2 linked regions of the Rattus norvegicus genome follow. The protein of the gene in region 2 purifies or fractionates together with the protein of the main gene of each other region. This does not show direct contact. Links are inferred from orthologs where the notes say so. Each region holds a gene or a part of one and is shown on either strand. Other genes may lie near its edges.

Evidence for each region. Proteins that work in one complex are often made in the same cells at the same time.
Region 1: the proteins of Kat2b (region 2) and Supt3h purify together in Homo sapiens (affinity purification with mass spectrometry; 7 studies listed by BioGRID and IntAct, with this or other methods). This does not show direct contact. The link is inferred for Rattus norvegicus from reciprocal best matches to the Homo sapiens genes KAT2B and SUPT3H.

Annotation. Positions count from the first base shown.
Region 1 is NC_086027.1:23,700,649-23,705,585, reverse strand, and holds the start of Supt3h (transcription initiation protein SPT3 homolog), read left to right. Parts: upstream 1-1,422; 5' UTR 1,423-1,677; intron 1,678-1,688; exon of another isoform or gene 1,689-1,836; intron 1,837-1,918; exon of another isoform or gene 1,919-1,937; intron 1,938-4,937.
Region 2 is NC_086027.1:6,797,250-6,802,248, forward strand, and holds the start of Kat2b (histone acetyltransferase KAT2B), read left to right. Parts: upstream 1-1,895; 5' UTR 1,896-2,231; coding exon 2,232-2,480; intron 2,481-4,999. UniProt on the Homo sapiens protein: Functions as a histone acetyltransferase (HAT) to promote transcriptional activation. Has significant histone acetyltransferase activity with core histones (H3 and H4), and also with nucleosome core particles.

The sequences.
Region 1 (4,937 bases), about 17 Mb from region 2:
TAAGCCTGGATCTTCTTACACTTCATGTTGAACCTCCACATCCTAAATACACTCTTGGAAGTGGATTTGGCAAATATCGAAGTGTCTGGTAGTTAGAGAGAACTAAGCACAAGACAACTGCAATCCAAAGAGGAGATAATCAGATGAATGGCTGTTTTAAAGACACTAAACAAGACGCTAGGATTATTTCAGAAGTCATAATACATTCATAGGCAAGGCATTAATGGAGACAGAGTGCTTGAAAAGACCCGGGAAAGGTGAATGTGATGGTTTGTATATGCTTGTCTCAGCGCAAGTGGCATTATTAGAAGGTGTGGCCCTGTTGGAGTAAGTATGGCCTTGTTGGAGTAGGGAGTGGGCTTTAAGACCCTCTACCTAGCTGCCTGGAAGCTAGTATTCTGCTAGCAGCCTTCAGATGAAGTTGTAGAACTCTCAGCTCCTCCAGCACCATGCCTGCCTGGATGCTGCCATGTTCCTGCCTTGATGATAATGGACTGAACTTCTGAACCTGTAAGGCAGACCCAATTAAATGTTGTCTTTATAAGAGTTGCCTTGGTCATGGTGTCTATTCACAGCGGTAAAATCTTTACTAAGACAGTGAATAATATAAATAATATAGTAATAATATAATATAAATATTTGAGGTGGCAGGATAATGGATGTTTTCTTTCCTAAACAGCTGAAGAGTGAAAGCATCGCACACCATTGTCTTGAGTGCTTTAAAGAACTACACCTGCAACCATCAAACACGGGAAGCCAGGTCATACATACAATACTGGTGGTACAAGATTTCAAAATGAGGAGCAGGCCAAAATCCTTAGGAAAAAGCACCACTGCTTATTTTTAAAGCCTCCTCAATAGTGAAAGTTATCAACCAAAGCATGCTTTTTAAAGTAATTCTAATTAGTAGAAACGAACTGGGGAAAACTTTGCGGATCAGTTGTCACAGGCTTTTGATTTTGCGCAAGGGCGGGTAGGGGTAGGTGGGGTGGAAGGAAGCTGGTGTTTCCAAGTCCCCAAACGGGCTGAGTCCCCACACAGTGCTTCTCTGAGGTTCAGGTCTTTCGGAACTCTGCGTCCCTTTGTCATTCGAAGCAATTCTGATAACCCGACCGACCGACCCCTAAAGAGACGCTTGCATGGATAATCTCCCAGTGCAGGTCACCGACTCTGAAGAATTCCTAGCCCCTCGGGCTCACTCCTACAGGCTGCAGAGTCTGCACAGGGTAAACCGGGTTCCTCAGCCCAATCCCTTACTCTACCCATCGCAACTACCGCTCTAGGCTCCGCCGCATGGATACGCGCCGCTCGGTCCGCCATGGCGGGAGGGCGAAGTCCCGCCCCCGGAGTGTGGCGGAAGTGGAAGGCGCAGTCCCGCGACCGCGCGCGCTGTCTAGCCCGGTGCGCATGCGCTCTCGCCGCACAGGTTGGTCCTTCCCTCTAGTCACCTCAGGCTTCACTACCCCTGCCCCGCCCCTCATAGTGGCACTCTCGCCATCTTACCCCCCCTTCTAGCCTAGCTCAGTCACCTTTTCCCTTTCTACAATCTTTGCCCCCACTCCCTGCCCCCCTGCCCGTCGTGTCCCGGGGCCGCCGCCGCAGACACCGCGCCATCTCTGTCCCCTCTCATTCTCCACGCGGGACGCGCAGCCGTGCCTCCACGTGTCTTAAGCAGAGGTTGTGGGGCGCGTGGGGGCGGAGGGGAGTGGGGCGAGGTCATGGGGACGTCAGGGACGTGGCAGCCAAAGATCTGGCCCCGGGGTGCGGGCCCAGCCGGTTGCAGGCCGCCGAGCGTTGGGTGCACCCTGGCTCCTCCCCGTCGTCCGTGGGCGTGAGGTGAGGGGAGCCTCGGGGCCAGGCGGAGAGGCACTGTTTCGCGTGTCACCCAGATGGGTGGGGAGTCCCTCAAGAAGGCAGCTCTACTTCTTGGAAGCTAGGTAGTGTTAATGGAAGGAAATGTAGTGTGCCGGCTGAGGGACGGGGGACGCAGAGACGCTGCTGTCAGAGCTCGCCTCTGGGACCCCTGGGGAAATAAATTATTTAGTTGGTGTTGTGGTGTGCACATGGGGATCATCATCACAGCCTAGTTCTAAACTCAGGTTTATGGGAGAAGATCTGTGTGCTAAAAGCTCAGCTGTGATGAGCTCCAAGTTAAGGGAATTGTCATCTTGCCTTCTCTATAGAAAGTCAGGACAGTTGATGTGACAAGTGGTAAGAGTTATAGGGATAGTGGAATATATTTGATATTCAGACATAATGATTCCGGTAACAGTGTTGTTAATGTACACCCCGATTAAAATTAGCTTCCCTGGAGTTAGTAGAAACTCAGGAAGAAACGGGTACATATTTATCTGGAATAAGACCTGGGTTTTCAGTATTTGTGAGGAGCAGTTCACTGTTAAAAGATTTACTTAAAGAAAGAAACAACTGGTAGAATTTCTGTGTGTTCCACAGAGGCGGGATTTGATTACTAAGGGACAGTTTCTAGATAATGCTTTGTACAACTAGACCACACTTAACCATGCTATTCCAAGTTTCCCATCCTTCTCCCCTTGCACTGCCCTAGGGAACTTTTTGCCAAGCTGGAAATGCTATACACTGTGGGCTACCAATATGGTACCCACCAGGTGCAGGTGACTCTTGAGCACTTGAAATGTGACTGTTGTCACTGATGAGCTTGATTTTTAATTGGTTAGCAAATTAATTACCATGTAAGTAGACACATGCATGGTGGTTATTATATGAGACTCCACATGTTTGAAAAAAAATGGAGAGCTGGTTACAGTTTTTATTTAGTTGAGTTTTAAGCCAAAGAGGCCTGCTTTTGGGATATTTACGGTTTAAGGAATCATAATTATATTCCAATAATGCCTTTCGTTCAAAGCATAGATCTGCTAGTATTTATTTACAGCTTGGCAAATCAAAGAAAAATACTCTGACTCTCTGGTTCTAAAGCTAATGCCAGATTTGGTTGGAAAGACAGCAGTGCTAACTAGACTTTTCTTTAATTATCTGTGGTGACCATTTGGTTAGTTCTTAGAAAAAAAACTGAACTCTTTTTTTATTGTTGTAGTTTCCCCCCACTTAAAAACTGGAGATTCCACCTTAACTTTTTGTATTATAAAGCAGTTTAATAAATTATAATAGTAGCCTTTGAGCACTTTTTGAAATCACCTTAGTATCCATATTTAAACTTCCAAAGAGAAAAGTGAAATTTGGAGATCAATGTGTCATGAGGCCACTTTCTTTGACATATGCCCAACTGTTTTCATCTGAGTTTTTGTAAATCTTGAAAATAAAACTTTCCCCCTCCTTGCCTTTCTCTTGCCCTCTTCCCTCCTTCTTCCCTTTCTGTGCTGGAGGTTGAACCCAGGCCCTCCCACATCCTAAGTGGATGCTTACTAAGCTATGCGCTCAGGCCTTGAAAATAAGCCATAAGGCGGGGAAAAGAAACCCAAAACAAAACTCTCATGGTAGATTGTACCCAGAACTTCTGCCTGATATTTGTAAAATATTGGCCTTGTCCTCAAGGCTGAAGATAATCGTTGGTTCTGGAATGGCAGCTTGAAGCTTATGAGTTACGTCATATACAGAGAATAGTTCATGGCATGCAGATCACACTGAGCTAGTCTTAAGTAGACTGGCTATCTTAATTTTTCTGGGATGGTCATGCTCTAGCCTACTTTAGTACTAGAGCTCCTTTCATATGATCAAACATGTTCCAGTTTAGACAGTGCTAGCATGCCTCTCCCCCTGCCATGTTGTAGGCTAGTCAAAATTCTTAATATAGTCTTGGAATGATTAGCTATTTTACAGTCTCCAAAATACACTTGTTGAAAACAGCGACGAGGTCCATGCTGTTGCCTTTATTTAAGCCATATCTGGAGTAAGGCCAGAGAGTGACTTGGTTACTTTAGCCACTGTCAGTTTAACCTTTTATGTTGTATAGATGTCATGGGTAGTATGATTGTTGGTTCTCTTTGGGGAAGAAAAAAAAAGTCCTTTGGTGTAAGGGGCTACAAATATGCCAGTACAGTAAGATCAGAAGATTGAGTGTTCCTGTTGAAAATGTTATTTTTGGTGAGGTCAGATAGTAAATCAACCAGAACCTTGCTTTTCATGTATTATCACTGATTTTGCTTACAGTTCCCTAACAGTAGGAGAAAGAATTCAGCCATTGCATTATTGTGTTGACTGAATTCATATTAACCAAGGAGGTTGAACTATTTTATTTGCTATTTCAAATGTCATCAGCTTTGCCACTGAGCCCTAGATGTCTCCTGTGGTCCTGCTAGCTTAGTCTTGGAAAGACTACCCCACACATAAGCTTCCTTTTCTGAGCTTGCTTACGGAGAACCCTGAAATGTCTTTAAAGAGCTGTGCCTTGCTTATGCTCACTGTCGTGTCTCACGAGAACAGAGCTCTTTGTGTGCACCAGATCTTGCTTAGTCATTATTTCGTGAAGAGAAGTATTTTAAGTTTCTATGCTAGAGGAACTGAGGAAGAGAGGTGGCATGCATTGTCCAAGGTCGCATGATAAGCCTTAGAGCCTGTGTTTGAACTCCAGAGCCCAGCTCTTTCCTGCTCCACTGTGGGTGGGTATAAGCAGATAGTTCCCAACAAAGTTCACTGTGACAGACACCTTGTGGAGGTCTTGTGAGTGAATTATGACCCTGTTTTATTTGTATGTCCCTCGTATAGAGAGGATTCAGGACGGACCTCAGTGTTAGTCCCAGCTTGTGTTACTAAATAGTGGTGTGCCTTTGGGCAGTTCAAGAAACCCCTCTGGGCTGCACTTTCCTCACCTGAAAAATGAGGGATTTGGGTGAAATTGGTGATGTTCACACTGCAGTCTGAAGCCTGCTCACATCCGTTGGTCCCTCCCTCCAGTTCATGTCTTTCAGTCTTTGCCTGTTGATTAGCCATGTGCCTGCGGT
Region 2 (4,999 bases):
AAAGCGACAAAATATCATCTGCCCAGGTGACCAGTTTTTAGGAAAACTGATATACCCACAAACACATTAAGGAGATGGGAAAAGTTTTCAACCTCTTAAATGAGATGATGTTCTTATACTTACCCATAAGCCCCTCTGTGCAGTCACTTACAGGCTGCTAGACTGACTGCTATACTTGCTGACCTCTTAACTCAAAAGGTTTATTTTTGACTTTCCCACCGTTCTTCTTTGGTTTCTGGCCAAAAGCATAAGAATACTGTCCCCCGACCCTCTGGGCATTCTCTGCTTTTCTCTGAAGGATATACACACCCCAACCCACCTTCTGTACAGCTGCTTACACCCCATCCAGCTCCAAGAGCAGAGCAGACTTTCTTTTCTGGACTCTAAAAATGAGCCAGTTTCTCTCTTCCTTCTCTGTTTTCTTCTGGGCAGCCGCCAGGATTTATAGCTCACTGCAATACAATGGGCCTCAAGCTTCCTTCAGAATCCATTTAAAAAGTGTTAGAAGAAGGACACTAGGAACAGACAAGAGAACCTACATCCCCCAATAATGGTTTAATGACAGACATTATTGTAGGAGCAGCTGTAGAAAGGACAGGACAGCGATGTAAAACCTGATGAGTTTTTCTGTTTGTTTTCTTTTTCTTGCTTGTTTGTTTATATACAAGATTTCACTGCGTAGTCCTGGCTGACCTGGAACTCTTAACTTAGACTAGAATGCCTAAAACTCAGAGACTGGCCTGTCTCTGATTCTGTAATTCTGAGGTCAAAGGTGAGGACCAACACACCTGGCCTTATCGGTTTATTAATTAATTAATTAATTAATTGTTGAGGAAAGAGTCTCACTCTATTGAGCTTCCACAGTGGGCTAAGGTCAAGCCTAGGTAGGGGGCGTTGGTCAAATATAGGCCAGGAAGACTGCAATTTCCCAGCCGTAGGCTTCATTCCTTTGAGAAGAAACTCCCCCCCCCCCCCCCCCCCCCGCATAGCATTGCTCTGCGTTAAAAGGACACAGAATCTGGAAAAACGCATCTTGAAACATAAAGTGTAATTTTTAGCAGGACCGACTGGTAAACGAGTATTTGCAAGGGAAAGCACATCCCATATGGCTGGAGTTCAGCAGGAGCTGCCAAGCTTGTGAGACAAACCAATCACAAACTCATTACGATCATTGTCCCACATCATGACTATGCTTGCTCCGCAGAATTAGGGCACTTGAAACGGTGCTGACAGGCAATGCAGGGCTTTTCAAGTCGCTTTAGAAAGGTTGACCCATGGTGAACAACCGAAACAACCTCTTTCTGCCATCAGAGACAGGGACAATAATTTTGCTTTTGAAGTTTAAGTCAAAATTGGTATCACTTTCCTGGACGCTGTCTTTCTGGTTAACTTGCATGCCCGGATTTCGTCTTTGAAAATATAATAGACAATAAACTAGCAGCAGACTTTAGCCAGCCCGGAGTGAACCCTGCAGGCAGACTCATTTCAAACTTTTTCCACGCGTTTAGTTTTCATTTTGCCGACATGTAATGTACTCTAACCAACAAGTATTATATACGTGTGAATACACACACACACACACACACACACAGAGAGAGAGAGAGAGAGAGAGAGAGAGAGAGAGAGAGAGAGAGAGAATTGAGTCTTCTCTCTTTGGTCATATTCGGTTCAGAAACTACCAGGGAAAGAGGATGGGGAAGAATCCTTAAAAGAAAAAGTTTAGCCCAAAGTAAAAAAAAAAAAAAAACACAAAAAAACAAAACACCCCTTCACGCCATGATTTTGGTGAATTAGCAACAAAGAGGAGGATTGGCCGCTGACGGGTACTTCTGGAAAACATTTTTTCCTCCGGCTCCCGCTAGGGTGGAGGAAGTTGGGTCTCGGCGCGGGAGGGTGTCAGGCCCAGGGACGCCAGCAGCGCAGGGCGGCAGGTGCCTGGGCTGCAGCGGCCCGGCCTCGCGGGTCGCCGGTCACCTACGGGCCCTGGCGCTCCGGGCGGGCGGCTACGCTTGCAGCAGCATGCCGGAGGCCCAGGGGAGCAGAGCGCGGTCAGGGCGCTCGGGCCCGCTAGCGTCCTAGCCTCCCGGGGAGGCGCGGGGGCCTGCGATCGCTGGCGGCCGAGCGCGGCGGGGGCGGGGAGGGCGCAGGGCGGCGGCCGAGGGGGGAGGGTCTCGGCTCCGCCACCGGCGCCCGCGGGGACCCTGGCGGCTGCGGGTGACAGTCGGGGCGGCATGGCTGAGGCTGGTGGGGTCGGGCCCCCAGCACTGCCGCCCGCGCCCCCGCACGGTTCTCCCCGGACCCTGGCCACCGCCGCCGGGAGCTCTGCTTCCTGCGGGCCAGCGACCGCCGTGGCCGCGGCGGGCACGGCAGAAGGACCGGGAGGAGGCGGCTCGGCCCGGATCGCCGTGAAGAAGGCGCAGCTGCGCTCTGCTCCGCGGGCGAAGAAACTGGAGAAACTCGGCGTGTACTCCGCCTGCAAGGTACCCGCTGGGAAGAACACAATCGCGGGGTCACGGGCGGGCCGGGACCCCCACCCCTCCCCCACCGTACTCCCAGCTTCCCGCCGGCACCGCGGAAGTGCTACATTCTCTACGCGCGCTCTGCCGCTGCGGCTCGCACAGCGTCTCACTGGGGCAGGGGTAGGGGGTCATCTAGATCTGGCTGTGTTCTTCTTCTGGGAAGGATGAGTCTTGGCTTTCGAGCGCTCGGGGTACTCTGGGGCTTTTCCTCTCTGTAGGAACTCGCCGGAGCCCTTTCACAGGGAGCGTAACTGTGCTTGGTGTGGCGGATCAGTCGGGGCTGGGAAGCAGCATTTTGGGGTTGGGGGCATCTTAATGTGTCTCCCTGCGTTCTCTCTCCCCATTGAGCCCCGCTAGGAGGAGCTGGGCTGTGGAGTGAGCGTCCAGAAGTGTCCTGGAATCCTGGCGCTCCGCGGGAGTGAAGGGGCGGAGCACGGGGTGGGAGGTGGGCACTGCCCCAAGCCCGGGTCCTTTGGCGCCTGGCGGCCTCGGCCGTGCGGCGACGGCCCTGTCATTATTGTTATTACTTATTTAAGCGAAAGCGCGATCCTGGCGGCTTAGAGTGTAAACAGGGTCTGGCAAGGTGACAGCCCGGGCGGCGAGCGGGTCTGCTCAGTTTGAGCACAGCTTTCTTGTCATTTTCCCTCCCAGAGGGTTTTAGGCACCTCGGGGCATCCAGCTATAGAGCACGTGTAGGGGGGCTCTGCTCCCCAGGCCGCATTGGAGAGCTACTCCGCGCTGTAGACCGCGGCTTTGTTTTGACAGGGTGACAGCAGAAGTGGGGCGGGGACTTGGCCTTGTTAGCTCGCGCGGCCTGTGGTTGGGACCGGGGAGAGGCGCACTCACACCTCCCTTCAGAGTTGCTTGCTGTCAAAGGAGTCACGTCCCCAGCATTCAGATTCTCATCCCCACTTCCGACTGTACAGCGAGGATGAATAAACCTGGTAGATGACATTCCTCCCGGGGGATTCTTGTTGTAATGTTTACTGGAGCTTCAAGGACCTTGGATGGTCTCAAGCATGGCCTTCCATTGTGACCAACTCCTGTTTATCCATGCTGTCACCCTCTATTTAGGTCGTGCACCCGCTGTGCCTTCCTGAGAGGGCACCAGTGCAGTGCTTTATACACATTGATAAGCTTTGTGATCGCTCTCTTGGAACTGCTGTTGCTAAATTAGGAGGTTGGGGTGGGGTCTGAGGATTTACATTTCTAATAAAGCCCCAGGAGTTGCGGAGTGGCAATTGAGAATACTTTCTTCGAGAAGCAAGTATATTACTACTTTTGAATTCTTCAAAGGAGCCGAGAAATACTAACGCCACGTGGTGTATCCTAAGGTTTGCAAAAATAAAATTGAAGTACGTGTCGAAGAAATGGGAAAAGCAAGGGGTTCTACTCCAATAGCTAAAGACTTCCTTTTTTTTTTTTTTTTTTTTTTTCTTTTTTTCGGAGCTGGGGACCGAACCCAGGGCCTTGCGGTTGCTAGGCAAGTGCTCTACCACTGAGCTAAATCCCCAACCCCAGCTAAAGACTTCCTAAGTCTTACAGTCCAACAATCTGTCCATCCTAAAACCTTCCTTAGACAGGACCTCTGGTGTTGCATGCAGGGAAGAGAGTGGCTGACAGAACTCAGAGCAAGTTCAGGGACTTAATAAATAGGCTTGGCTTTTGCAGCTGCTTTAGACTCATTGGTAAACTCAGTCAGCTATGTAGTCCTGCTTTTACTGAAAAGTATTAGCCTGAGTTCCATCACCAGTATCCCCCCCTCCATGCTGCCTGCCATCCTGTAGTACCAGAAAACATTCCTGTAGTTGTACACATGCATTCTTTCTAAATTCCCCCAGGTCTTCCTATGAAGTCCAGGATGGCCTTGAACTCCTGTCTGCCTGCGATTACAGCTCTACCACCATGCTCCTCCCCTGACCCACCCCAATACTTTGTATCATTCATTAGTGAAACTTCAAGTGTATAACTTGAGTATTTCTTGGTCATATTTTCTGACAAACTCAGAGGAAAGATAAACCTGTTATTCAAGCTCTTTCTTCCTGCTTTTGAGAAACTTTGAAAGTAATAGAGTTTAGTATGTGTGGTGTTTGTCTGCATGTGTGAGTGTTAGAATGTGTTCAACTCTTCCAAGTACTCCGGGAGCCATCTCACCAGCCTGAAGCCCTGTGGTCTTATTTGGTGATTTATTCAGCTAATGTTATGAGAAATTCTAACTGGGGCCGCGTTTTGAGCCAGGTGCTGGGTTTATGGCACCAGGATCTGTCTTGAGTTGTTGGAGTGTGTATTCAGATTCCAGGGTAAAGGCAGTAACCCAGCTGCAGTGGACCCCAGTGAAGCCTTCTTGGGGTGTAGGGCTCAGAGTTGGAGAACCCGGGAACTGCAGATCCAGGAGGTGGAGGAGGTGTAATCCTGATTTAGAACTTCTGGCCTGTCAGGGTTGGGTGGGGTAGGCTTTCTTGCTGTAAAGAGAAACTGAA